Stegostoma tigrinum: one gene and its partners. The protein of the gene in region 3 purifies or fractionates together with the protein of the main gene of each other region. This does not show direct contact. Links are inferred from orthologs where the notes say so. Each region holds a gene or a part of one and is shown on either strand. Other genes may lie near its edges.

What was found.
Region 1: the proteins of aurora kinase C-like (region 3) and ppp6c purify together in Homo sapiens (affinity purification with mass spectrometry; 4 studies listed by BioGRID and IntAct, with this or other methods). This does not show direct contact. The link is inferred for Stegostoma tigrinum from reciprocal best matches to the Homo sapiens genes AURKA and PPP6C.
Region 2: the proteins of aurora kinase C-like (region 3) and dicer1 purify together in Homo sapiens (affinity purification with mass spectrometry; 4 studies listed by BioGRID and IntAct, counting the BioPlex papers as one, with this or other methods). This does not show direct contact. The link is inferred for Stegostoma tigrinum from reciprocal best matches to the Homo sapiens genes AURKA and DICER1.
Region 4: the proteins of aurora kinase C-like (region 3) and arfgap1 purify together in Homo sapiens (affinity purification with mass spectrometry; 3 studies listed by BioGRID and IntAct, counting the BioPlex papers as one, with this or other methods). This does not show direct contact. The link is inferred for Stegostoma tigrinum from reciprocal best matches to the Homo sapiens genes AURKA and ARFGAP1.

The regions. Positions count from the first base shown.
Region 1 is NC_081382.1:26,604,275-26,611,701, forward strand, and holds the start of ppp6c (serine/threonine-protein phosphatase 6 catalytic subunit), read right to left. Parts: upstream 3,006-7,427; 5' UTR 2,945-3,005; coding exon 2,870-2,944; intron 1-2,869. Other genes in the region: rabepk (rab9 effector protein with kelch motifs), read left to right, coding at 5,072-5,124.
Region 2 is NC_081363.1:6,496,102-6,503,891, reverse strand, and holds the start of dicer1 (endoribonuclease Dicer), read right to left. Parts: upstream 3,006-7,790; 5' UTR 2,677-3,005; intron 1-2,676. UniProt on the Homo sapiens protein: Double-stranded RNA (dsRNA) endoribonuclease playing a central role in short dsRNA-mediated post-transcriptional gene silencing.
Region 3 is NC_081372.1:47,185,478-47,192,318, forward strand, and holds the start of aurora kinase C-like, read right to left. Parts: upstream 3,002-6,841; 5' UTR 2,889-3,001; intron 1,433-2,888; 5' UTR 1,418-1,432; coding exon 1,376-1,417; intron 1-1,375. UniProt on the Homo sapiens protein: Mitotic serine/threonine kinase that contributes to the regulation of cell cycle progression.
Region 4 is NC_081372.1:31,570,535-31,577,558, reverse strand, and holds the start of arfgap1 (ADP-ribosylation factor GTPase-activating protein 1), read right to left. Parts: upstream 3,006-7,024; 5' UTR 2,835-3,005; intron 1-2,834. UniProt on the Homo sapiens protein: GTPase-activating protein (GAP) for the ADP ribosylation factor 1 (ARF1). Involved in membrane trafficking and /or vesicle transport.

The DNA of each region.
Region 1 (7,427 bases), on a different chromosome or scaffold from region 3:
AGAAATGAGAGGTAGTATTGAGATGTTAATGGGATAACATCTCATTAATTTTTGTGCTCCTTGTCTTCTCACACAGGGGTATGTGGAAACTGTCCTAAACTTCCAGCCAAAATAGGATTGGGTGGCTAATGTTTGTAAAGGTATGATTTGTAATTCTGTAAAAGGGTGAAACTTCTGTAAAGGTATGAAACTTCTGTTTCTACTGAAGTGGACAGGTCAGTGACCTCTGTTCAAGCCAGACACTTTGGCGGCTTGAAATCGTTACCAGTCACTTCGTGAACAATCAATGCTGTATTCTGTTCGCTATATGTTCCAAATGTAGTAAATGTTTTTTGTATCAGCCAAAATAGAGTATAAAAAGCGGGGACTGTCCACTGTTCGGGGAGAATTGCTAACGGAACTCAGCACTCTGTGCCAGGTTGAGTACAGCGATCCTCCACAGCTTGTTCTTGTTTAATAATAAAGGATTGTGTTTTTGTAGCCAGGTCAGTGTCTTGCTATTGCATCAAGTTTGTGCGGGTCTCCGAAAAACGAACCTAACAGTATTAGAAGAACGAACAAAAGACAACGAAAGCTTAATAGTATAATTTATAAAGTGTTACCAGAATAGACAAACCTAGGAACATGTGTATATAGATATTTGGAGGCCAATGGGCAAGTTAACAAAGCAGGAGATGCAATCCTGGGCTTTAAGTAAAAGACAGAGTACAAAATTCACGGAATTATGCTAAACCTACATAAAACACTACCTTGATCTCGACTGGGAGTACTCTGTTTAATTTCACAAAGAACATGAAAACTTTGGGGAAAGAAAAATGTATTAAACGGCTCTAAAATGAGGAATTACATTTATGCAAATAGATTTGAGAAATTGGGGGTTTGAATGAGATATTTGGACACAGTGAATAAATGACTGAAGCATGAATAATCAGAGGTGACAGATAGAAGGCAGAAAAAGTGAGGAAAAGAACGTGGCAATCCAGAATTGACTAAAGGCATAACTAATAATTTATCACTCCTGAATGATAAATACGAACAGTAACAAAGTGTAATTGGCCTTTAATTTCATATGGTATTTGCACAGTATAATATATTTCAAACTTGATGCATCTTCTGGGAAAATGGCAAACTAAAAAAAAAACTGAATGTATGAGTGTTTCTTTGATCATTAAGTATTTTAACTAATTACGCTTCAGTAAGATGAGTAAAGACACTCACCGAATCCAGCATTTGTATTACAAGAATGTTAACCAGACTAAAAATCATTGGCCCAATTAAATTACATTGCCGTTACCGCTCATTCAGCAATTTCTACTGAACAATACTACATTTAACATCAAGGAATATTCATTATAATCACATTCTCAAACATGTCACCAAAACGGTCCATGCATGTTAATCATCTACAATTTGTGGCTGAGGAATATATTTAATGGCCTACTTGAGCTGATGTCCAGGTAAAAAGGGCAACATGCTAGTTTGCGATTATTAGAGTTATAGACTTAATGCAGGCTGTTCAGGCAGCATTTATCTAAACTGAGACAAGAAGATGAACCAGCATAGCCATTCCACCTAAACTGCACATTTTTCTACTGAGAAGGAAAGCAGAGCATCCAGAGGAAACCCCAAGCAGACATGTGTAAACTCCACATTAGACAGTCGCCCAAGGCTGGAACTTAACTAGGTCTCTGGCGCTGAGGCAGCAGCGGGTCACCGTGCCACACCAAATGGGAACAAAAGTGTGCAGTAGAAGCTGAATCAATATTTTATCTTAAATAAAGAGCTTCTGTTTTTCTTCTCCATCCACATATTAATACTGAGCAGGATCTTGTAAGACTTAATCACTACTGCAACCTGCTCTGGCATATTCAACAGTATCTAAACACCCCCAACACCTCCAAATACACTACAGGAGCCTATTACTGTTACTAAATGCCTCTATTATCTCATCAAAAACTCCATCCTGTTTTAAGCAGATGTGTGATTTGCAATCACCCAGTCTTCCGGTAGCATTTCTGTACATTAAAAGGTTATAGCCAGTACCTTCACAATTTGAATGCTTGTTTCTCTCAGTATTCTCAGATGCATCTCGTTGAAAGTAACATTTCTTTATCAATCTTTAGCCTCTCTAGCATCACAACTAATTACTCTCTCACTTGAACCATTTAAGTCAATACTCATTAGCATTTGAACAATCTGCATAACAGTTTAGCATTAATAACTAAACCTCTCCACAACTCAACTCCGAAAGTTTCCACTCCTGGTACAGTCAACATTGAACCCAAAAAGAAGCTATAGTTTTAATCTGGAGTGAAATCTTCTACCTCAACCTAATTGAAACAAAAACTTACTTTTGGATCAGAATTAACCGTGATTAGTCAGCAACAAGTCAAGTTCCTCAAATGAACAAAATTTGTGAATTGTTTTACGAAATGATCCAATCCTTCGTTGAAGCAAACTACGTTTCACTTCAAGCGTCCCAGTTCAGCATTCAGGGGAGGCTTCTCACCTATTAGAGGTCCATTCTCCGGGAGTGGTGGGGTTAACACTTGTGATGTTTTGATTGCGGCGACATTACGCTGTCAATGTAAAGATCCACAGATAATAGCGCTAAGGAAGTCTACCTGCCACACATTAAATTTATGTCAAAACCCAAATATAAACAAATGCCACAGAACTTAGGACACAAGAGGTAAGGCCCCAAAAACGTAAGGGTACAGCCTAAAGCTGTAGTCTTGACAGGTCCCATTGCGTCGCTACAAACATAATCGACACTGAGGCGTCAAATAGATTTAGCAATAGACAGACACAAAAAAACATACAAAATAAAGTTCGGGGGTGGGGGAGAGCGGAAACTGTAACACGTTACCTTTAGGTCATTTTCTGGAAGATATTTGCACTGCCGAGCTATCTCCACATACTTATCCAGGTCCAGAGGCGCCATTTTGAGACACGGACTGAGCAAGCCCCAGGCCAATGACGCGCTTCCGGTATCTAAAGCGCCGGCCGCTGGCTAAAGAAACCGGCTTCAAACCTTCACCTTACCCCGAAACGCGTTCGATCGTTAATGACCACTTTGTATTGTTTGAAGATTGACCCCATTCCCCAGGACACACCGAAACTCTTTGTTTAATCCCACAGTTTTTACGCACCGCCCTCTCCATTGGCCGGCTCGGTGGTAAAGTTGAAAGTTCAAGGGTTGTAGATTCCCTTTAGCAACACCCGAGAAAAAAATTGGGAAGAACGACAGGTATGAAGCATTTGAGGCATAGGCTTATATTGCTGTAATTATAGCGAGTAACAGATGCTCTAACGGTTAGTCATCGAAGTGCTGAAAATCAGTAAATGGAATTTGGAGGGAAGGGGAATTGGAAAGTGGCATCTTTCAGTGCTGGCCTTTAAATCGCTGGAGTGACACTAAATTTCACATCAAACTTCCCTGTTTGGAGAAGATCGGCGTTTGTTCAAATATTCTCAGAATGTTCCATTTAAATCAGAAGAACATGAAGAGGCTGCTGTAAAAGATTGTAAAACGGGGCACGTGTCCAATATTTAATTTGCTCCTCATTGTTTTATTTTAAAAAGCCCACGAGATTAAATCAATCGTGACTGCGTGCAAACTGATGACGAAAAGACAAAAAAAAGTAGCAGTGATTGTTCAGTTATGATACTGACTTAGCAAATCGGGGCATAATCACAATCTGTGCGCATGATAAGAACCTGGAGGCATTGATTGTGATCTCTGAGGAAGACAGTGTCGACCTTCAAGAGAACATGGACATGATGATAGAATTGGTAGATAAAGGGCAGAAAACCAGACAATACGAAATAAAAATTACAGTTCTAAAGGATGCACAGCGCAGAGAGATGTGAGTGTGCATAAAGCAGTGAAGGTAGGACAGTTTGAAAGAGTGGCTGTTAAAGTGCACAGTTTCTTAGGCTTTATAGTTAGGAAGGAAGAACCAAGCAGATTTTGTTAAACTTGCTTAAAAATGCACTGGCAATTACATTTCATCCAGCTGTATGCATTGCACTGTACAGAATCTGGAAAAGATTCACGAGAATAATCTCCAGGATGAGGAACTTCAATTGCTTAGAAAGATTAGTGCTGTCATTATGTTTTTTCTGGAAGGCAGAGAGGAGCTTTGTTAGATGCTTTCAAAAGTCATGAAGGATCAGGTCAGAATGGAGAAGGGAAAAACAGTGGCCATTTATGTGAAAGGTTGAAGAACAAAAGGACACAGCCTTTGAGAAATTGGCAAAAGAATCAATGGTGATATGCGGGGGAAAATGTTTTTGATCCCATTGAGTGGTCAGGATATGGAATGTACATTGAAGGCAGGTTTAATAAAGGCGTCTAAAGGAAGAATGTGCAGGATTACAGGGAGAATGCAAGAGAATGTCATGAGATAAATTGTTAATTTTGAGATCCACTACAACACAACAGTTTGAATGGTGTTTTGTGGAACTGAAGTGAAGAATACAGTAGTTATCACTCAACTGCTAATATGCATAGTCTAGGGATATCAGACTAAGACTTTTAGCATTTTTGATTTTTCATCTCCACCTCAAAAATTGGTAGGAAAGCTTGAATGAGAAAACAGATTCAGAATTGCAGACAGCCATTGACAGGTAGTTTACGATATTTACATGCACCAATCTAAGTCGTAATGCCAATGTCAGATTTTATAAAGATGTGGAGGTGGACAAAACCTGAAGTCACATGATACCAGGTATAGGCCAACAGGTTTGTTTAAAATCACAAGCCTTCAGAGTGCTGCTCCTTCATCAGGTGAAGGCTGATGAAATCTTCATCTGGCGAAGGAGCAATGCTCCAAAAGTTTATGATTTTCAATGAACTTGTTGGACTATAACCTGCTGCCATATGACTTCAGATGTTGTAAAAGTTGTAAATTACCTTATGGTCGCATTGAGACTATAATATGCTGTGCTATGGGTTGATTTCATTTACTATAATTAAATAAATGCAAGTAATTTTTATACATTAACATAACATAAAAGTTTAAATCTTCAATGTCTGACAGTTTTATTCCAGATTTTTCGAAAGGCTATGGAATTGCTGACTGTCTTGGAGCCAGGGGAAACACCCCAAATAGCAACATGGTAGGCTGTCAAAGCATGTGTATATTTAACCCGACACTATATTGACAGGAATTGTAACTGTAAAGTGATACCTTAACACAGAGATAATGTCCCTATTTTTTCTTTTGTTTTATTTATTCACATGGTCATCATTTATTTCCCATTCCTGTTGTAGTAGGTCTGTACCACATGTAGGCCAGACCAGCTAAGGATGGCAGTGAACCAGATGAGATTTTTTTTTCAACAATTGAGCCACTTCATGATCATCATTAGACTCCTATTTCCAGACTTCTATTGGATTCAAATTCCATGACTGCCATGAGGTAGTAGGAATTGCAGATGCTGGAGAATCTGTAATAACAAGATGTAGAGCTGGATGAACACAGCAGGCCAAGCAGCCTCATAGGAGCAGGAAAGTTCCTATGATGCTGGTTGGCCTGCAGTGTTCATCCAGCTCTACTCCATAACTGCCATGGTGGCAGTCAAACCGGTATACCTAGAAAATTACCTGGCTCTCTGGATTAACAGTTGAGTGATAGCACCACTAGGCGATTGTGTTCCTTTCTTTTGATGTTACAACTATACATGAATAACAAGTTGTGGAAAGACGATGTGTAAATCTGTACAGGACTGCTTGCCATGTCACTTAAAAAAGACACTAGGGAATGTGCAGAAATATTTACGGAAATTATAGCAGAAAACCTGTTTACACAGGAGTTCTGCATGGCTTATTGTTGGAACTGTTGCTGTTTGTGATGTAAGTTATAATTTGGACTTAAATGTAGGGGTATGATCAAGAATTTCATACATAGTGCCGAAGTTGGTATGGTGGGAAAGAGTGGCATAACTGCATGGAGTTTTCAAAGGACCAATCAGTTGGCGGGGCAATATAGGTTGGATTTTAACCTTGTAAAGCTAATGCACTTGGAGAGGGATTTCAAGGCAAGGGATTTTATAAATAGTTGGACTCCGAAAAGTAGTGAAGATCAGAGGAACCTTGGTGCATATCTTCAGATCCCTTAACATTGTAGGGCAAGGTAGGGTAAATAAGGTAGTTAAGAAGGCATATCAAATAACTTGCTTTTATTAGAGGCCAAGGATTTTATTCAAAGACCGAGGAAGTTATGCTAGAACTAGATAAATGCTTTTGAAGCCACAATTAGAATACTGAGGGCAGGTCTAGTTGCCAAAGTATTGGAAGAATATAACTGTATGAAGAGGGTGCGTGGAAATTTACCTGGATGCTTTTTGGGCTGGAGGTCTGAGCTGTACAGAAAGACTGCATAGGCTGGGATTGTTTTCCTCGAGGCAGCAAAAGGTGAGAAGGGGACGACCTGATGGAAATGTTTAAGATTGTGAAGGGCATAGATAGGGTGGATAGGAATGCATTTTTTCCTTTAGTTGAGGAGCCATTAACCAATGGGTGTAGATTTAATGCAAGAGGTAGAAAGCTAACAGGACAGTTGAGTTTTTTTTCCACTAAGAGGGTGGGGGGAGTCTGGGAGTCATTATCTAAGTCAGAAACTTTTGTAACATTTAAACAGTATTTAGCTATTACAGGCAGTCACCAAATTGTGAATGGGCTCCATTCTTGAATCCATTCACTAGTCAATTTTTACACAAGTGAGTAAGTGAAGCTTGATAATATAAAACAGCCTTTCTTATGTACAAGGCCAAATGTTGGATCTTTAAAATTAATATTCATACACCTCGTATGGGATTGCGTTTGTAAGTACGAACATTTGTGCATCGGATGTTGATAAATTGGCGATCCCCTGTGATTTACATTGCCATATCCTCCATGACTATGGGCCAAGAACTGGAAAATGTTATTCATGCTGTCCAATCTTTGACTGGTGCGGACACAATGGGCTGAATAACCTCTCTTCTGTAAATGTCCAAGGAAAGACTTGGTGTCTTTTCACTTGAAAAGAGAAGACTGAAGTCTGACCTAATAGAAGTACTAAATTGGGGGAAAGCTAACTACAGCAATATTAGGTAGGAACTGAGGAATGTAGAAAGGACGTAACAATTTGAGGAAATCTTTTAAATACTAATTGATTCAGGACCAGCATGCTCCTGTGAAAGTGAAGGATAGGGATAGCAAGATTTGGCAACCTTAGGTGACAAGAAATTGTGAATTTAGAAAGAAAAAGGAAGCATAGGTAAAGCTTAGGAAAATGAGGACAGACAGAGGCCTTGAGGAATATATAGAAAGCAGGAAAGAACATGAACAAGGAGCTGGGGTAACAATCTTAGCAAATGGGATTAAAGAAAAGGCTTTTTATACTTCTCTAAAGAGCAAGATGGTAGATGGGGAAAAT
Region 2 (7,790 bases), on a different chromosome or scaffold from region 3:
GACCAAACATAAAAATTTAATAAAATAAGACACAGGAGCAGAAATTAGGTTATTCAGTCCACTGAGTCTGCTCTGCCAATCAATCATGGCTCTTAGTTTCTCAACCCCATTCTCTCGCTTTCTCCCCATAACCTTTGATCACCGTGGCAATGAACTCCACAGATTATCTATCTCTGGCTGAAGATGTTTCTCCTTGTCTCCGATCTAAAAGATCTTCCCTTTACTCTAAGGCTGTGCTCTCAGGTCCTGTCTCTCCTACCAACAGGACCCGAGAGGACCCCCAGAGGCTTCTTCCCAATATCCACTCCGTCCAGGCCATTCATCATTCTGTAAGTTTCAATTCCCTCACTCTTCTAAACTCCATCACGTATAGATCCAGCGTCCTCAAATGTTCCTCATATCAGGGCTTTCATTGCTGGAATCATTCTCCTGAACTTCTTCTGAACCTGCTCCAGGGCCAGCGCATCCTTCTTGAGATATGGGGCCCAAAACTCCACACAATACTCGAAAAGCAGCCTGACCAGAGCCTCAGGTGTACAACCTTGCTTTTATACTCGAGTCTCCTCAAAATAAACGCAGAAGTCGCATTTGCTTTCCTAACTACTGACTCAACCTTTAAGTTTAAGGTGAGAGAATCCTGGACTACAACTCCCAAGCCTCTTCGCACTTCAGACTTCTGAATTTTCTCCCCATTTAGAAAATAGTCCATGCTTCTGTTCTTCTTACCAAAGTGCATCATCTCTCACTTTCCCACGTTGTATTCCTGGGGACCTGGGTTCAAATCCCGCTATGGCAGACGGTGGAATTAGTATTTGATAAATATCTGGAATTAGGGGTCTAACAATGACCATGAATCCATTGTCAATTATTGGGAAAAACCCATCTGGTTCACAACTGTCCTCTAGGGAATGAAACTGCCATCCTTGTCTGGTCTGTCCGACATGTGACTCCAGGCCCACAGCAATGTGGTTGACTCTTAACTGCCCTCTGGGCAATTAATGCTGCCTAGCCAGCAATGCCCTCATCCCGTTAATGAATTAAAAAAAGACAACTTAATTTTTACTAACAGCTCTACTTGGCATCAACATGTGGACATCAGATGAGGTGAGGCTAGTTCGACTTAAACCTACGTATAGAAGATTTGACCACAGCCAAAAATGTAATGGGGAATTTTCTGAACTTTCGCATACTACTGATTTCCTTTGCCCAACCATGGTTAGCCATCTATACCTACGACTGTCTAATTCCTGAAAGCTAAATTTCTATGTCCTAGAATAAACACCTTAAAATCTACTTATTTGAATGAATTTTTAGTCATCTGTTCTAATACATTCCATGATTCTGCTCAACTTCCTTTAACATAATTTTTTAAATAAAGAAAGCTCTTTAGGATGTTTAAATATAAGGTGTTATATAAATGCAAGCTGTTTTTGCTCAGAAGAAACTAACAATGTTAACCAATAAGTCAAACCCTCAAAGGCTGTTAAACTGGACAAAAATCAATGAAACTAGGGCATAACATGAGTACCAGTGCACAGTAGGCAAAAAAAATGGATGTGAACTAAGAAAACCCCCAGCAGGTGAAAGGTATTAAAGATAAAGGCTGGAAGAACACAACAAGTCAGGCAGCATTTGGAGGAAAGGAGCAGTTAACTTTCAGCTAGAATACTCGAAATGATGACTGCTCTTTTCCTGCAGATGCTGCCTGGCTTCCGGCGTTCTTCCAACCTCCTGCTTGACTACTTTAGATTCCAGCATCTGCACTTTTTTTTGGTCTCTAACCAAAGATATTAAAGATCTGGTTGAGAAGAACCAGGAGGTGCAAAGCAGACTGGTTTCCTGGGAGCGTTTCTATTGCCTCTAACTCCGAGACAGCAGCGGCTGCCCCGTTCCCCGTTCTCCTCCGCCGACAACGGATAGAGCCAGCGGGATCACAAGTCCTTTAACACGGCCTCCAATAATGAGCACTAAGACACGATCCCCAAGAATTGCGGCACCCCCTGGGTTGGGGTTGCGGGGGGAGAAACTGATGTGTCTATGTAGAGGCAACACCTACCAATCGCAATTAGACCCGAGAGGCTGGGAAAAGAAGCCCGAACAGTAGGCCTCGCACCTTAGCCACCTACTCCCACTCCGAGGCTAAGCGGCCCAGACCTTTAATATCCAAATCACCGTCCCGTTCCCCCCACCCCCACCGTGTCTCTCTCATTTTTTTTAAAAGGGGGGACGGTGGGAGGATGCGAACAATAAAATCTGTTGGGCCTCTGATCGCTAAGGTCGCATCCATGGGTCGGGTAAAGATCCCCGGCTTGGGTGGCAGTGGGCCGGGTTAAGAGTTATTTAAGAAAAAAAAAGTACATTTTTAAAAATCCAACTCTTTACCACCGTTGGTACAAAAGAAATAAAAATTCAAACAGGAGGTGAGAGACGGCGTCCGTTAACGGCCACAGCGCGCGTGAGAAGCTGGCGGAACGTTCTAGTAAAGGGAGTCCGTTGGCGGCGCTCGCGCAGCCACGCGGCCGGAGGAGGAGAAGGAGGAGGGAGGCAGAGCCGTACGACGGATTAGCAAGTACCAGTTATTTACACTGATTAGATATTTATGCACGCATTTTTAAAAGTATAAATATATACATAATATGTATACACACACACACGTAAGCGTGAAGTGAAGCTTACCCCCGGCTGTAACGATGCATTGAGTGTGTTTGTTGTTGAGGGGAGGGAGAGGTTAGGAGGTAGAGTTCGGGAGGATGGCGACGGTTTTCAGTTCCCCTCCCCCTCCCCTGCTGTCGCTGCTACTTGCCCGGTTTCTGGCCGGCACCCCGCCTTTTCTCCCTTCAGGTAACTTGCTTTCTTATTTAATTCCTCCCTCCCTTCCCATTTCACAGCCTTTTCTTGTTCGATACACCACCCCCGGCCTCTTTATAAATGGTTTTTTTTTAAATGTGTTTTTCCTTCCACGCCTTCGCCTCTCCACCTGGATGGGCCGCAGGCTGCGCGCGCATTCGCCTCCCTTTTTTCCCTCGCACCCCCACCCACTTCTTTCGGCCCACCCTGATGCACCAAGAATTCCGATTGGTCTGCGGGAACCGGGCGAAGTTGACATCCAATCGGGTTGCTGGTTATGGTCGGGTAGGCCGGAAATCGCTGCGGCTGGCGGTGTCAACAAACTGCTTGCGGACAGATAGACCGTATTCACAAGCTGTCATCTTGGATGTCGCCTCCCTACCATTCCTGTTTGCAGCAGCAGCAGCAGCAACAACAAACAAACAATCCCCGTGACACCCAGCTTTGTGTCAGCCGTGCCCCGGTGGAATGTTAAAAAGCAAAATACCGCGGACGCTGGAAATCCGAAACAAACACAGGATATGAGATAATGGGAACTGCAGATGCTGGAGAATCCAAGATAACAAAGTGTAGAGCTGGATGAACACAGCAGGCCAAGCAGCATCTCAGGAGCACAAAATGGGTCTAGGCCCGAAACGTCAGCTTTTGTGCTCCTGAGATGCTGCTTGGCCTGCTGTGTTCAACCAGCTTCACACTTTGTTAACAAGCACCGGATATGCTGGAGAAACTCAGCAGAGTTGGCACCAAATGTGGAGCGAGAAACAGTTAAAGTTTCCAGCCACCCGGTTATGCCTATTTTTCAGACCTCCTGAGTTTCTCCGACATTGCCCCTGTGTGTTTCAGGTTTGTAGCATCGTAGTTTTTCGCTTTTAGATGATGTTTTGAGTTGACGTTTCTTACTCAAAGTACCGGTCTCGAAACGTTAGATGTGTTTCCGCCTCCACAGATGTTGCCAGACCTGCTGCGTTTCTCTAGCATTCTCCGTGTTTGTGTTTGGAAACTGTCCAGCCTGCCTCGCCTCCAGTCCCAGAACCAACACAGCCCCGACCTCAATCACTCAGCGGCGGCAGGCAGTCGACACTTGAGACTGTGCGCGCGACAGGCGACAAGCTGCGAAATATCGTCAATAGCCTTTATCTAACCATCTGGAATAGAAAGCTCTCTACTAACCTGCCCCTGGCGCGCAACACTGTCAAGATGCCCAGCGAGCTAACAGGAGAACGTTGATCAATACTTGTATCTTTGAAGCTTCCACTCTATTATTTTTATATAGAGTCATACAGCACGGAAACAGACCCTTCGGCCCAACTCGCCTATGCCGACCAGGTTTCCTAAACTGAACGTTTGCCATAATTTGGCCCATATCCCTCTAAGCCTTTCCTATCCGCCAAATATCTTTTTAATGTTGTAATTATATTTACCTCTACCACTTCCTCTGGCAGCTTGTTCCATGTATATACCACACTCTACCTGTAAAAGTTGCACCTCATGATTCTTTTAAATCTTTCCCCTCTCACATTAAACCTATGCACCTTAGTTCTCAACTCCCCTATCCTGGGGAAAAGAACTTGGCAATTCAACTCATCTACGACCCTCGTGATTTTATAAATCTCTGTAAGGTCACCGCTCAGCTTCCTATGCTTAAGTAAAAGTCCCAGCCTCTACTTATAACTCAAACCTTCCAATGTTAGGAATATCCTTCTAAATCTTTCTTTGTATCCTTCCTATAGTAGGGTTACCAAAATTATACACAGTACTCCAAATGGGGCCTTACTAATGTTGTATACAGCTGGAACATGACATCTCAACTCCTGTACTCAAAGCTCTGACCAATGAAGGCAACTGTCCCAAATGCTTTCTTTGCCACCCTGACTACCTGTGACACCACTTTCAAGGAACTACGTACCTGCACCCCTATGTTTCTCCACTTGGCAGTGCCCTCCAGGGCCCTAACATTAACAGTGTAAGTCCTGACCTGGTTTGTCTTTCCAAAATGCAATACCTTGAATTTGCTTGCTTTCAACTCCATCTACTATTCCTTGGCCCACTGGATCAAAATCCCATCATACTCTTCGATAATCACCTTTACTGTTCACTAAACCACCAATTTTGGTGTCATCCACAAACTTATAAACCATGCCTCTTATATTCTCATCCAAATCATTTGATAGCAATGACGAACAGCAATGGACTCAGCGCTAATCATTGCCGTACACTATTGGTCTTCTATCTGAACAAGCCCTACCACCACTCTGTCTTCTACCATCAAGCTATTTTTGTATCCAATTGGCTAGGTGTCTCTGGAATCCCATGTGAATTCACCTCACTCACCAGTCTATCTCGCAGAACCTCGTAGAAGGTCTTGCTAAAATCCATGCAGACAACATCTACTGCGCTGTTTTCATCTATCTTCTTGGTCACCTCTTCAAAAAAATCTCAGTCAAGCAGGGCTGAACTTTGAATAAGGAAATTTGAAGGAAATCTGTTTCACCATTCTGGAGCACTGTGCTAAATTAGAATACATAGTACAGTACCACTGTATCTGTTAGGAATCTTAGACATTAGTTTAATTTTGTAATATGATTTGTCTTTTCATTTCGCTTTCATCTGTAAAAGTTGTGATGGCTCTGCATACAAACATGTAATTGTGTACTATATCACTGTTTGCATATAAAAATAGATTGGGCATACTTATATATTTGTACAGTTTATTTGAGAGTTTGGACTTTAACCAGCTGCATATGGATTGTTCACCTCTGTGATAAATGGGGTAATTAACTAGTGGATGATTCTGGAGTGATGATTTAAAACCGGTATGTGCCAGAGCAGATGTGAAACATTCTCTTAGAGCAATAACATGGACTTATTTGTATTTTGACAGCAAGACAATTAAAGAGCAAATATTAAAAGATATTCCCTTGTTTTTGATTTTGAAGATTCGATAGTTTTTCTCTTAGGAAATACCGACAGATTGGAAAGCCTTTGATTTCCATTCAAATGTGACCTTGCTGGGTTTAGATGTAACAATTTCTCCTGGAACAAGGAGTTAGTCCAGAACAGTTAGGAAATAGCTTACATCAATGTAAGAATTCCAGAACAGAAATATTTTGGTAATAAACCTGAAGGCCTTGGTCAAAGCTAAGAAAATTTAAGCACAGTTGTGTGAATAATCAAGGGAGAGGCTATCAAGCTCTCAAGATCAGTAATTGAAAGAAACAGTTAATTCAAAACTATAGAAAAAAATAAATGATCTGTCTCTGGCAGATGGATCAAATATCAGTGGGGGGGGAAACAGTTAGTAGACAGTGTCTTTTGTACCATACAGTTGAAAGATAGTGTTGGAGAATGGCATGCAACAATTCAGAGTAAGAAAAATCAATTGACAGTGAGCTGATTTCAAATGGGGCAAGAGTTGAACTGTGTGTGGAGCTGGATGAACACAGCAGGCCAAGCATCATCTCAGGAGCACAAAAGCTAATGTTTCGGGCCTAGACCGTTCTTCAGAGAGGGGGATGGGGAGAGAGGGGGAGGTGGACCGAAGATGGAGAGAAAAGAAGACAGGTAGATAGGAGAGTATAGGTGAGGAGGTAGGGAGGGGATAGGTCAGTCCAGGGAAGATGGACAGGTCGAGGAGGCGGGATGAGGTGGTAGGTAGGAAATGGAAGTGCGGCTTGAGGTGGGAGGAAGGGATGGGTGAGAGGAAGAACAGGTTAGGGAAGTGGAGACAGGCTGGGCTGGTTTTGGGATGCAGTGGGGGGCGGGGGGAGGGGACGAGCTGGGCTGGCTTTGTGATGCAGTGGGGGGAGTTCTTCCCATTCCCCACTGCATCCCAAAACCAGCCCAGCCTGTCTCCGCTTCACTAACCTGTTCTTCCTCTCACCCATCCCTTCCTCCCACCTCAAGCCGCACCTCCATTTCCTACCTACCACCTCATCCCGCCTCTTCGACCTGTCCGTCTTCCCTGGACTGACCTATCCCCTCCCTACCTCCTCACCTACACTCTCCTCTCTACCTATCTTCTTTTCTCTCCATCTTTGATCCGCCTCCCCCTCTCTCCCTATTTATTCTAGTTCACTCTTACCATCCCCCTCTCTGAAGAAGGGTCTAGGCCCAAAACGTCAGCTTTTGTGCTCCCATTCTTTTTGAATACGCTGTATAGGTGATTTTCTTCTGCTCTTCGTAGTTCCTCTGTGCTGCAGTGTGTGGTGGCTCGTTGGAATAATGTTCTAATGCAGCTTCGTTTGTGGGTGTTGGGATGGTTGCTCCTGTAGTTCAGTATTTGGTCCGTATGTGTTATTTTCCCGTAGACGCTGGTTTGAAGTTCCCCATTGGCTGTTCGCTCTACTGTGACATCTAGGAATGGCAGTTTGTTGTTGTTTTCCTCCTCTTTTGTGAATGTTATGCCAGTAAGGGTATTATTGATGGTCTTGAATGTTTCTTCTAATTTGTTTTGTTTATTGATGACAAAGGTGTCATCCACATAGCAGACCCAAAGTTTGGGTTGGATGATTGGCAGAGCTGTTTGTTCGAGTCTCTGCATTACTGCCCCTGCTAAGAACCCTGATATCGGAGATCCCACGGGTGTACCGTTGGTTTGTCTGTAGGTTTTGTTATTGAAAGTGAAGTGGGTGGTCCATTAGCTCGATGGTGTTGTCCTTGCTGATGAGGTTGGTGGTGTCTGGTGTATGTGTCTTTGGTTCTTCTAATAGTGTAGTCAGTGTTATTTTGGCCTGGTTGATGTTGATGGATGTGAACAGGACTGTTACATCAAAGGAGACCATTACTTCATCCTCTTCTACCTTGGTGTCTTTGATGGTGTTCAGGAATTCTTGGGTGGAGCGAATGGAGTGGCGGGAGTCTTCTACTAGGTGTTTTAGTCTTTGGTGTAGTTCCTTGGCTAATCTGTAGGTTGGTATTCCAGGTAGCGGCACCATGGGTCTGAG
Region 3 (6,841 bases):
TTTGTGCTCCTGAGATGCTGCTGGGCCTGCTGTGTTGATCCAGCCTCACATTTTATTATCTTGGATTCTCCAGCATCTGCAGTTCCCATTATCACTCATTCTTAGATGTAATGCCTTAGAGAAGGCAATTTTTCAGAAGCATTAAGGTTTTGTATTACTGAACAATATCCAATCAGGTGCTGGATCCACTGCTTTTTGTCATTTATACAAGTGACTTGGGTGTGAATATAGGAGGCATGCTAAGTAAGTTTGCAGGTGACACCAAAAATTGGTGGTGAAGTGGACAGTGAAGGTTGCATCAGAATACAACAGAACGTTGTAAGGATGGGCCAAGGAGCAGCAGATGGAGTTTAATCTATATAAATAGAAGGTCCGACATTTTGTTGGAGCTAAACAGGACAGGGCTTACACAGTTAATGGCAAGATCCTAGGGAGTGTTGTCAAAAAACCTTAGAGTAGATTTATGGTTCCTTGAAGATGGAATCACAGGTAGACAGGCTAGCAAAGATGAAATTTGTATGCTTGTCTTCAAAAGTCAGTACACTGAGTATAGGAGATAATGGGAACTGCAGATGCTGGAGATTCCAAGATAATAAAATGTGAGGCTGGGTGAACACAGCAGGCCAAGCAGCATCTCAGGAGCACAAAAGCTGACGTTTCGGGCCTAGACCCTTCATCAGAGAGCTCTGAAGGGTCTAGGCCCGAAACGTCAGCTTTTGTGCTCCTGAGATGCTGCTTGGCCTGCTGTGTTCACCCAGCCTCACATTTTATTATCACTGAGTATAGGAGTTGGGACAGGTTGTGGCTACTTTTGAAATACTATATTCAACTCTGACCTCCTTGATTATAGGAAATGTTGATGAACTTGAAAAGCTTCAGAACAGACTAAAGGATGTTGCCAGGGTTGGAGGGTTTGAGTTACAGGTTGGGGCTGTTTTCCCCTGGTGTGTCAGAGGCCAATGGCTAACGTAATAGCGGTTTCAAAGGTCACAAGGGGTATGGATAGGGTGAATAGTCAAGGTCCCAGGGTAAGGGAGACCAAAACTAGAGGACATAGGTTAAGGCAAAAGGGAAAAGATTTTAAAAAGACAGCTTGTTCCACAGAAGGTGGTCATGTCTGGAACAAACTGCCAGAGGAACTGGAGGAGGCTGGTATAATTGCAACATTTACAAAGATATCTGGATGAATTATGAACAGGAAGGATTGAGGTTCATGGGCCACATGCTGGCAAAATGGGACGAGGTTTATTTGGCATGCATAAGTTGGACCAAAGATCTATTTCCCTGCTGTACATCAATGACTGACTACTAAGTTATTCAACAGTTTATTTCCATCATAACCATTAATTAATATTTCAATTGGCAGCAAAAATACCTTTCCAGCATGTCCTCCTTGGCTTGCAACCCTTTTTTCCATTTGTAATCTAAAATCCTGCAAGTGGAAATTAAAAAGTTATTATACTGTATTAGGCTATTTGTAATATTCTCTCTGGAGGTCAGGTAGCTGAAGGCTTGAATTTCCACTGCAGAACTTAAGCTATCAAAGCACAAGTCACAAAATATGATTTCCTGAATCCAGTAGAAGCAGCTCTGGGTAGCAGCAACCAAACACATACAGTTTCCTAGAGAAGTATTTTCTAGGTCAAAACCCACTGGGTATCTGTCCCAATGAAATAGCCTGAAACAAAACCCTGTGTGCTTAACAGAATTAAAATTTAGATCTATTTATGCACATATTAGCAGTTAACAAAGCCATTTCCTCCCTGTAAGTTTTCTCATTCGTCACATCCATAGACTTGTACTTGGTGGATAGAGATAGCACAAATTAGAAAACAGAAGTGTATAGTGATTCCTGCTGCATTTTATTGCAAGGGCTTGAATAAAAAAAACTACTACTGAAAAAGAAAATCCCACAAAACAGGACCGCCTCACACAAGTTAAAGTCTCAACAGCAGCCGCGTTTCATGCTGTAAATTATCCTCCTAACCCCACCAATCCAGCTGGTCTGTGCTGTAGCAGACATGTTTTTTGGCGATAGGCCAGCATCAGCACCACTAACGACAAAAGTCTGCGCAGTCACTGCATACTAAGAGTTACTCTGCTTTTTCTCCACAGACGCTATCAGGCCTGTAGAGTTTTTCCAAGCAGTTTCTGATTTTGATCCCATACGTTTCTCACGCCAATCTCCACACAAGAGTAAAAAGAGACAAAACTTGTAACTGATTGAAGTTATCATGCAGAGCCATGAGTAATACTAGATGAACGCTAAAACTCAAAGAAACGAATTTGCCACGCAATTAAATTAATCCAGCCTAAGAAAAAAAAGAGATTGCGTCCCACGATGTACCAGCAATATAAACTTCAGCTCAGAGCAAAGCAAGTGAAATTTTCTCGGCACCCATTAATATCTCCGAAGTGCTGCTGCTACTTCTAACAGAGTAGCCAGTATTGATCACTGGCCGAGTTAATATTAAGCCATTAAGAATTTGAAAGGCTAAGTAAATTACACAAATACACCACAATCGAATGCTACGTGGAAAATCCCAGCGGAGGAGTGATATGGCGTCTCGACATTCAGGGAAGACAGGGCTGAGCCCCCACTTTCTCATCCCCCAGCTTGACCTTGACACACAAGTTAGGGCATGATTGAAGGGCAAGGGGCAAGGGCAATGGGGAATATCTCTCCCTCAGATTCAGGGAGATTGGAGCAAAACTGAAGATGGCTACACCAGGGCCCCAAAGGCACAGGAAAGGGTAACCAGATCACGGTTAAGAACACAGACTATAGCGAGGTGGGAGGCCTTTTCCAGCCCCAGCACTGAAGAGGCGACGAACCAAAGTCCTCTCCCCAGGCCCCCAGACTACCCCCTCCTTTACAATCAACCTACCTCCCACTCTCTGCCTATCTCACCGCCCGTTTCACTCTGCTCCTTCTACCGTTTAAATTCAAATCCACCGCACTTTAAGCCCATTTAACAGAGCCCGCGCTTCAATTGGACGACGCCTGCCCGTCGCTCGCTCGCTATTGGCGGTTCTTCAACGGACTGCCGCAGGCCGACGGTTACGTCATCGCGTGCATGCGTACTGTCACGTGATGTGCCGGCGTTCCCTTTCTCCCAGCCTGGAAATTGACACATGCGCAGACGTAGAGGTGTCAGGAATTTGTGATTTGAATGTTACGCAAGGAGGTCATCTAGGCCTTTTTGCCTATAGTTTCCTGTAAAGCTGATGTTTACTTAGTTCTATCGTGTGTTCTTTTCCACCATATTTTAAATATTTATCGTTATCAGTCACATTTTTTAAACTGTTATGGATTTTGCTTCACCCACAGTTTCTGGTAGGCCATCCTCCTTTCCTGCATGAAAACAGAATATCTTAAACGGCCCCTTTCTTTTTCCTAAATATCTATCCTTTATTCAGTACTCAGTAAAAACGTTTTTTTTCGAATTTTTAGCAAGGCTTATGATTTTTAACATTAAATTTGAAAGGAAGAACCAGGAAGTTATTAATTTAGCCCTGAGATAGTAGGAACTGCAGATGCTGGAGAATCCGAAATAACAAGGTGTGGAGCTGGATGAACACAGCAGGCTAAGCAGCATCTTAGGAGCAGCAAAGCTGACGTTTCGGGCCTAGACCCTCCCTGGTGGGATATAAATTATTTTACTGTATTCCTTCTGATAAAGGGTCATGAACCTGAACTCTTTACAAATGACTGCTGAGTATTTAGTTTATTTTTGGCTGTGCATTATGTGTAACACAAGGTTCTTAATTCTGTATCATAATCACATTACCATAGAATCTGAATGTAAAGAACTGATACATAACAGCTTTGCTTTAATTTTGTTTCTCTCCTGCAGTGGAATGTGATGATCTTCTCCTTATCTATTCAAATCATTGCCATTTATAATTGTTACTGGATATATGCTCCCATTGTGAAACAAGGAAACCTGATTATTAGTTGTGTGCCTGGTCTCTTAAATATAACAATAAACCAGCAGAGATATTGCACATGACTTTATTTTGTTATCTTTGCCTTTGTGAAGGATTTTACAGGCTTTCATAAGAAACTGAGACAATTTATAAAAGTAATTAAAAAACTACGCTGGCCCTAGACCCCACCTCTTCCTCCGTAACATTAATGACTGTATCGGCACTGCCTCATGCTCCCACGAGGAGCTCGAACAGTTCATCCACTTCATCAACACCTTCCACCCAACCTCAACTTGACCTGGACTATCTGTAACATCTCCCTCAACTTCCTGGACCTCTCTGTCTCCATCTCCGGCAACCACCTAGAAACTGATATCCATTTCAAGCCCACCGACTCCCACAGCTACCTAGAATACACCTCCTCCCAACCACCTTCCTGTAAAAATACCATCCTCTATTCCCAATTCATTCGTCTCCACCACATTTGTTCCCAGGATGAGGCATTCCACTGCCGTACATCTCAGATGTCCTCGTTTTTCAAGGACTGCAACTTCCCCCCACGCAGTGGTCGAGAACACCCTCGACCATGTCTCCCGCATTTCCCGCACCTCATCCCTCACACCCCGTTCCCGTGATAACCACCAAAAGAGAATCCCCCTCGTCCTGACGTACCACCCCACCAACCTCCTGATCCAACGCATCATCCTCCGACACTTCCGCCATCTACAATCTGACCCCACTGCCAATGACATTTTTCCCTCTCCACCCTTGTCTGCTTTCCAGAAGGACCACTCTCTCCGGGACTCCCTTAACCGCTCCACACTCCCCTCCAACCCCCCCACCACATCCGGCACTTTCCCCTGCAACTGCAGGAAGTGCTACGCTTGCCCCCACACCTCTTCCCTCACCCACATCCCAGGCCCCAAGAAGACTTTCCACATCAAGCAGATGTTCACCCACACATCTGCCAATGTGGTATACTGTACCCATTGTGGCCTCCTCTACATCAGGGAAACCAAGCAGAGGCTTGGGGACTGCTTTGCAGAACACCTATGCTCGGTTCATGATAAACAATTGCACCTCCCAGTCATGAACCATTTCACCTACCCCTCCCATTCCTTAGACGACATGTCTATCCTGGGCCTCCTGCAGTACCGCAACAATGCCACCCGAAGGTTGCAGGAACAGCAACTCATATTCCGCTTGGGAACCCTGCAGCCCAATGGTATCAATGTGGATTTCACTAGCTTCAAAATCTCCTCTCCCCCCACTGCATCCCAAAACCAGCCCAGCCCGTCCCCACCTCCCTAACCTGTTCTTCCTCTCACCTATCCCCTCCTCCCACCTCAAGCCGCACCCCCATTTCCTACCTACTAACCTCATCACGCCCCCTTGACCTGTCCATCCTCCACGGACTGACCACTCCCCTCCCTACCTACGCTCACCTCTACTGGCTCCATCCCCGCCTCTTTAACTTGTCTGTCTCCTCTCCACCTATCTTCTCCTCTATCCAGGGTATTTCAGAACCCTCTCCCCTTCCCCCATTTCTGACGAAGGCTCTAGGCCTGAAACGTCAGATTTTCTGCTCCTAAGATGCTGCCCGGCCTGCTGTGTTCATCCAGCTCTACACTTTGTTAAAAACTGAAGCCTCTATGTGTTCATCTCATCCTTTGCACAATTTGTCGCATTTATGATCTTTCCTTGCAAGGGCGTTCGGGTCATATAGGGTCTGATATGTTGCTAAGTACAGGTTGGTATAATGCCTGATACCAGTGGATTTTGTCAGTGTTTTAGCTGCACTTCAGTGTACCTGAGTGTGGGGGATTGGAACCTAATGTGTGAATATCAGCATCAGAGAATGCATCTCCCTTTGACTATGGGGTTAGTTTACCTTCCCATGGTCTACTGAAACTGCAGCAGGAGGATTGCAGAAACCCAAAGGAAATGGCATTTACATTGCTTGATAACAGAGTGTTGAGCTGGATAAACACAACAGGCCAAGCAGCATCTTAGGAGCACAAAAGCTGACGTTTTGGACCTAGACCCTTCATCAGAAAATGATAGAGAATTCTGTACATTTGCTATCCTCTGAGTGAAAAGATTTCTGACCATCTCAGTCCGATATGGTTTGCCCTATATGCTGGAATTGTGAATGCCTTGGTTGGACATGACCCTCCAACCTCCCCTCATCCCCCACCAATCTTTTTTCTCACCCCCAGTCAGGGAAACCTCATCTCTACATCCAGTCTGTCCAGCCCTGTCAGAATGTTATACATTTCAATGTGATCCTCACTCATTCTTCCAAGCTCCAGTGGATACAGGTCTAGTTAGTTCAGTCTGTCCTCAAAAGACAAAGATGCCATTCCAGGAATCAGTCTGGTGAACCTTTGCTGCACTCCCTGTATGGGAAGTTTTTTTTATGTAAAAAGACCAAAGCTGCGAAGAAGATGCTGAGTGTGGTCTCAACCAACCCATCCATTGCTTATGAGACCTCTCAAAACACCAGCAATTAATCTGAGGTGCATGTACTCACTACCATCAAAAACATTTGGTAATGTGGGTGACATCAATATAGAATATGAAAGGTTTCTAAGTTTTGTTGTTTCATGATGTTTCAATAATTTGTCTTGCAAAGTGACATCTTCACAAAGCCTGCAGAGAATGAAGGGCTGCAGGTGTAACAAGGTAATGGAAGAAACCCTCTGCTGTGAGCTAGAAAAATATGTGCACCTGTCACACAAGAGACTGTCTTAGCTGAACATATATCCTCATTATGTCTACACTTAACACTCATGTCCATATTCTTACCTTTGAACACAATGCATAAAACTATCATTTATTTAACATTTTATTTTAAATCTTCCATGGAATATGGGCATTGCCCATCTTTTATTGCCTATGCCTAATTAAG
Region 4 (7,024 bases), about 16 Mb from region 3:
GAGAGTGGTCTCTCCGGAAGGCAGACAAGAGTGGGGATGGAAAAATGTCTTGGGTGGTGGGGTCGGATTGTAGATGGCGGAAGTGTCGGAGGATGATACGTTGTATCTGGAGGTTGGTGGGGTGGTGTGTGAGAACGAAGGGGATCCTCTTTGGGCGGTTGTGGCGGGGGCAGGGTGTGAGGAATGTGTTGGGGGAAATGCGGGAGACACGGTCAAGTCATTCTCGACCACTGCAGGGGGAAGTTGCGGTCCTTGAAGAACGTGGACATCTGGGATGTGTGGGAGTGGAATGCCTCATCCTGGGAGCAGATGCGGCGGAGGTGGAGGAATTGGGAATAGGGTTTGGAATTTTTGCAAGAGGGTGGGTGGGAGGAGCTGTATTCTAGGTAGCTGTGGGTGTCAGTGGGTTTGAAATGGACATCAGTTTCTAGCTGGTTACCAGAGATGGAGACTGAGGTGTCCAGGAAGGTGAGGGATGTATTGGAGATGGCCCAGGTGAACTTGAGGTTGGGGTGGAAGGTCGGCGCCACCTCTTGCTCCCCAGAGGAGCTCGAACACTTCACCAACACCTTCCACTTTCCAACTGTCTTTTACCTGCGAATCGTCTCTCCTAATCAACTTTTGAAAGTTCTTGCCTCATACCATCAAAATTTGCCTTACACCAATTTGGAATTTTAACTTTTAGATCAGATCTATCCTTTTTGATAACTATTTTAAAAATAATAGAATCATTAATCACTGGCCCAAAGTGCTCCCCCACTGATACCCCAGTCACTTGTCCTGCTTTGTTTCCCCAAGTGAAGGTTAAATTTTGTTCCTTCTCTAGTAGGGTACATCCACATACTAAATAGGTATTTTTTTCTAGTACACATTTAAAGTCCTTTCTATCGAAGACCTTAACACTATGGCTGTCCAAGTTTACGTTTGGAAACTTGGAATCTCCTACCATTACAACCCTATTATTCTTATAGATGTTTTGAGATGTCCCGTGGAGATGGACATGGAAGTCAGAGACCTTGGGAAAATAAATAGGAATATCTTGTGAACTGCACATATTATAAAAGGTAGTGGTGATGGATGTCTTAAAACACAAAGGTGGATTAATCACAGGGATCCAATCAAGTGAATCCCAGAACTCTGCGGGAGCTAGGGAAAAGATTGCTCGTCCACTTGCTGAGATATCTATATCATCAACAGCCATGGCTGAGATGCCTGAACATTGGCCAATGTGGTGCCACTATTTAAGCAAGATGGTAAGGAAAAGCCAGGGAAGTATAGACTGGTGAGCATGACATCAGTGGTGGGTATGTCGTTGGAGGGGATTCTAGGGGTCTGGATTTATATGTATTTGCAAAGGCAAGGGCTGATTAGGGATAGTAAACATAGCTTTGTGTGGGGGAAATTAAGTCTCACTAACGTGATTGTGATTTTTTGATGAAAGACAAAGAAGATTGATAAAAACAGAGTAGTAGATGTCATTTACATGGACCTTGACAAGGTTCCACATGGCAGGCTGGTTAGCAAGGTTAGATCATGTGGAATCCGGGGGAAGCTAGCCAATTGGATACAAAATTGGCTTGAGGGTAAGAAACAGAAGATGGAGGTAGAGAAGTACTGTACCTCCCAGTCACGCGCCTTTCAACTCTCCCTCTGACTCCTTGGATGACACGTCCATCCAGGGCCTCCTGCAGTGCCACAACAATGCCACCCAAAGGTTGGAGGAGCAGCACCTCATTTTTCGCTTGGGAACCCTGCAGCCCAAAATCTCCACTCCTGCAACCGCATTCCAAAACCAAGCCAGCTCATCCCCACCTCCATAACCTGTACTTCCTCCCACCTCAAGCCCCACCCCCATCTCCTACCTACCAGCCTCTGATTTACAGCATCTACAGTTCTTTTGGTTTTTATGAAAAGAAAATGTGTGTGTATCAAAAGACGACTGGTCAAAAAGTTAAAACTTGGACAGAACGAGGAACACCAAGATAGCTATACCAGTGAAAACTGAATTAGACGTATACCTAGAAAGTACAAATACTAAAATGAACCTATATTACACCACAGTGTAAGAACTAGTACACTACTGGCATGTTAATAATAGGTAGTAAATCACAAAGTTTCTGTTTAATTGTAAGGGGTTCACTCTGGGAATCATTTCTAAATTTTACAACACAAAACGGGGAAAATACATAGTCCATTCACAATCTGTAAAGAAACAAATGACGGATCGACATTTCATCAGAACGAATCTCCTACATCATCGTAATCTAAAGATCCGGCTAGACAGATGTATAAATGTCCATGAAGCTGCAATGCACTCTTCAGCATTCAACTAATATTACTCTTTTTTCAAATAGTCTCTGCTCCGGCGCTAACGTGGCAGAACAATATGAGCGTTGGGTTTATAGAAGTGAGTGCATGAAAGAGAGAGGGAGGAAGCAACAGTCTCTATGAGGTGAAGGTTTGGTTAGGCACAAACCAAACGACTGGAGTCCACTGTTTATAATGAAATGAAATCACTGAATGGCCAACATAGCTGTACACCGCTGCAGCTGTCCAACCACTAGCTCCCCTTCAGGATGATTTGCAGACAAGGGGACGGGGACAGGAACAACAACGAGGCCTCAGCCGGCAAACACACACCTTAACTTACTCATCACGACTCACTGACTGACAAGAGGTCTGGACCAATCCCAGAGGCCGCTAACCTCCCTCCGGCCAATCAGCTGCCGGGGAGGAGGGCGGGACACAGCCGCCATCACCCTTAGGTTGACTGACTCATTTACCGGCTTTTTCATCCCGGCGACGGACGGACAGGCTCGCAGCCGCCTACTCACCTCTCCAAGGTCGCCGCTTCGGTTGACACTAGGTCCCCTTCAAAAGAAAGGCGCGTTCAGCCTCGGTGCGAAAAAGAACAGCGAGTGAAACCCGCTAGTCAGTCCGACACCAACCACCTCAGGAACAGGCGGCCGCCATCTTTGACGACGTTGCATTTACAAGAGGCTTTTGGGTAAAGTGGCCTCTGCACAGTGTTGAGTGATGATGTGTGAAACTGGGTGGAGGTGTGTATGAGGTATCAATGATGAGAGCATAACATATCGCATAATGCATACCGGTGTATTAATACCTCCATTGGCTCCTCCTTGTCCCAACTTCACCACTTTTGCCATCAATCCCCCTCTCCTAGGATACTTCCATGGTAGCTTAATGAACCAATTCATTTTGGCTCATATGAATAAAGAGCTAGAAATTGTAAATCTTGAAAACAAAAAATTGCTTGAAAACAAAAGATATCCAGCACACCCATTCAGCATCTGTGGCCAGAATATAAGGGTTAAAAATGGTTCATACCTTGTTGTAGCCAGGTGTACAGCATTTTACTTTTTCAGCTATGTTGAAAAATATGAATACAGTAACTTGCTGTAGGTGCGCACTAATAACAGCGCAATGAGGGCAACATGAAATATTGGACTTGGTCTGCCTGCTTAACAAAAATACGAGATGGCATTTCTATTTAACACCTACATTGGGCTATCTTGAGATGTTGGCGGGGAGCGTTTCCAAGCAAAATTTGACTTCCAAGCTGCAAAATGCATTTTTAATCAAGTGACTGAAAATTTAAACAAAGTGGTGGGTTTTAATAAGATTAGGAATGTAGAGAAGAGAGATTTAGTGAGAGATTTCACAATAAAGCTTAGGCGTACATAATCAGAAGTGTGCAAGAGAGCCATATTAGGATGATTAGCTGGAGTACAGAGATCTTGAAGGGTTGTAAGGCTAGAGGAGGTTACAGGTCTGGGCAAGGCCATGGAAAGATTTGCAAGGAAGTATAAGCACCTTGATATTGATGAATTGCCAGACTTTTCAGTCAATGTTGATTTGTGAGAATTGGTTTACAAAGAGTGCAAAGTGGAAAACCAACCAGCAAATCATTGACGCAATCAAGCCTAGAGGTACCAGGTGAATATCTCAGCAGCAGATAACCTGAAACAAGGGTGGAGACAAATTATGTTATTGGAGGTAAAAGTAGCTGATTTTGGTGATGGAATATATATGAGATTGGAAATTCATTTCGGTCAAATAGGAAATCAAAGTTAGGCATGTTTGATTGAAATAATATCCAGAGAGGGATGAAGTCACTGACTGGCATGCAGAGTTTGTGGCAAAAGTCCAAAATGATTTAAGAATTCAGAAGGAAAGAGCATAGAAGGGAAGAAGTGTGACTAAAATGGCTGGAATAAAGTTAAATCAGGTATAGAAAAAAGGGAGTGAAAAAACACCTGTTTAAAGAGAAAGGAAAAGTAACATAAACATTTTTAAAAATTGAAATTTTAGAAATCACAATAATTTACAGCCTGCAAGAATGTGATAGTACCATATAAATTGTTCTCCTTCTGCCCAGATGTTGATTGAAGCAGTTGAAAATAGTATCTCCACTGTCAATTACCACTTCTAACTTTCTGTAGCTAGTTTAATGAGCACATCATGTAAAAATCCAGAACAGTTCTTAAAAATAACAAGGTAGTCTGAGGTATCGCCCTTGCAAAGCAGAGTTTGTGAAGGAATGGAAATTGACCAGAGTTCCAGAAATTTATCACCCATCTTGGCTACAAGATCACTAAAATTGAGACCAACATTTAATGCCACTTCCATCCATCTATCGTTCCCACCAAGCTAAACTTCACCTTTGTCCTAATTTTGAAATTTGACAGTTTTGGAAGACCAGATATTCTATCCATTAAATATGGTTAACTGCTTACTAACATGGTAGGTGAAGTTACAAACTCTGTTTCTTAGAAACAAGATTTTCCCTTCTTCCTCAGCCACTTTATTGTTGTTGAACTTTTGACCTTATACCTGGCTTAGGCAGGACCTCCCAAATTCATTATCATTTTCGAGGAGGAGTGAGGTAGCGGGTACATGGCAACTATGGCTTCAAGTTCCCCTCTAAACCACTCACCGTCCTGAATTGGAAGAATATCACTGTTCCACTATGGCTGGATTAAAATCCTGGAATTCTCTCCCTAAGGGCATTGTGAATTAAACTACAGCGCGTGTACTGCAGTGGTTCAAGAAGGCAGCTTACTACCACCTCTCAAGGGCAGCTAGGTATGGGCAGTAAATGCTGGCCAGCAAGCGAAGCCCACATCCGATGAGGAAAAAAAAAAGAAACAGAAATTTTGAAAAATTAGCAAGGAAGTAATGCTCAATTTGTAAATTACTGCTGTAGAATCATTCACGTGCACCTCAACAAGTACATGGGGCTTTAGCGTGATATCTCATTGGAACAAAGGCGTCTCTGGCAGTATAACTCTCTGTCATTATTGCACAGTGGGCACCCAATATAACGTACAAAATATCCATTGAGAAGTTTTGCTGGTGATGGTGCAGAAGAGTGGGAGCAAGGTAAGGCAAATTTAACTTAACTATTATTGAAAAGGTGTTGGTCAGCTTCCTTCTTAAACCACTGCAGTGTGTATAGTGTTAAAATATCCTTCGTACTGTTAACAAAGGAGTTCCAGAATTTTAATAACAGGAAAGAAACAGCAATATATATATATATACTCCACCCCACAATGGTGAGTGGCTTGGGGAGAACTAGCAGGTTATATGTTCCTTGTTTCTGTAGGTAGCTGAGGTAACAGTTTTGCAAAGTGCTATAGTTCACTGCATATGTGAGACAAATGAGGCATTCCACACCAGTCTTCACCAATTGCTGTCCTGCATCCCCAAGGAAGACAGGTTGATTCTCCGTGGGAACTTCAATGCCAGAATCAGGCGTGATACCAACCTTTGGAGAGGCATGTTTGATAAGGAAAACATAAGGAAAATAAACTCCAACAGAGTCCTATTCCTGATGAAATGCATGGAATGTGACATTGTCATAACAAATACCCTGTACCACCAGAGGAATGACTTCAAGATTCCAAGATTTCTTGGCAACCCACCCCACACTCCAAACACTGACACTTGATAGACCATATCATAATTTGAGCAAGAGGCTGCAAAGGTGTCTGCATCACCTGCACCAAGACCAGAGCTAATGACTGCTGGACAAACCACTGACTAACCCCCTTACCATCTCCACCAACCTGGCCCCAAACCATCAAAGGCAACAAAAAAATCTCTACCACAGAGTACTCAATATTGCTGGTCTCAAAGACCTTGAGAATAAAGATGTACCCAGGCAGCGCCTCACATCCAAACTGGAGGTGATCAACAGATTCACAGGGTGCCCACAGTGCCTGGTCCACCCTAAAAGCCACCATGGTCACATCTGCTTGAGGCCACTCGGCCTGTTGAACAGGAAACACTAAGACTAATGAATGATCAAGAGATCCAGAATCTCCTAAATTGCAAACATAAGGGTTCCTGGACTGGCAGCTCTACCAAAACTTGAGTGAGAGGAAGGAAGTGTAAAGATGATTGAAGGACAAGATGAAACTAAGAGCCTGAGAATTATCACCAATGCTGCCTTTGCAAAATCTTGCAAATCCACTGGCAGGATGGGCAGTGAGCATCCTCTCCTAGGCCAATATCCACAGTGTGATGGCACAGGTTACCCAATCTGTGACAAACAGGCCACATTGTCCACATATCCAACCCAAGTCCCCCTAAATGAGTGCTGTACACTGAGCTCCACAACGGTAAGCAGTCACTAGGAGCATAGAGGAAACAGTACAAGGACAGCCTGAAGGCCTCACTGAAAAAGTGCACCATCCCCACTGACACATGGGAATTGTTAGCCCCAAAACTCTCAAACTGAAGAAACATCTTCAAAGGCACTGACCGCTTTGAACATAACCTAATAGAGCACTGAGTCCTGAGGAAGGGTCACTGGACCCGAAACGTCAACTGTGAATTTTTTTCGTCACAGATGCTGCCAGACCTGCTGAGCTTTTCCAGCACGTCTGTTTTTGTACCTAGTGGAGTAGATGAAGACTAAATGCAACAGTGGAAAGAGTGCACACTGGTGTAAAGAGTGAATGTTTAAGGTGCCAGTCTTGCAGAATGCTTTACCTAGGAT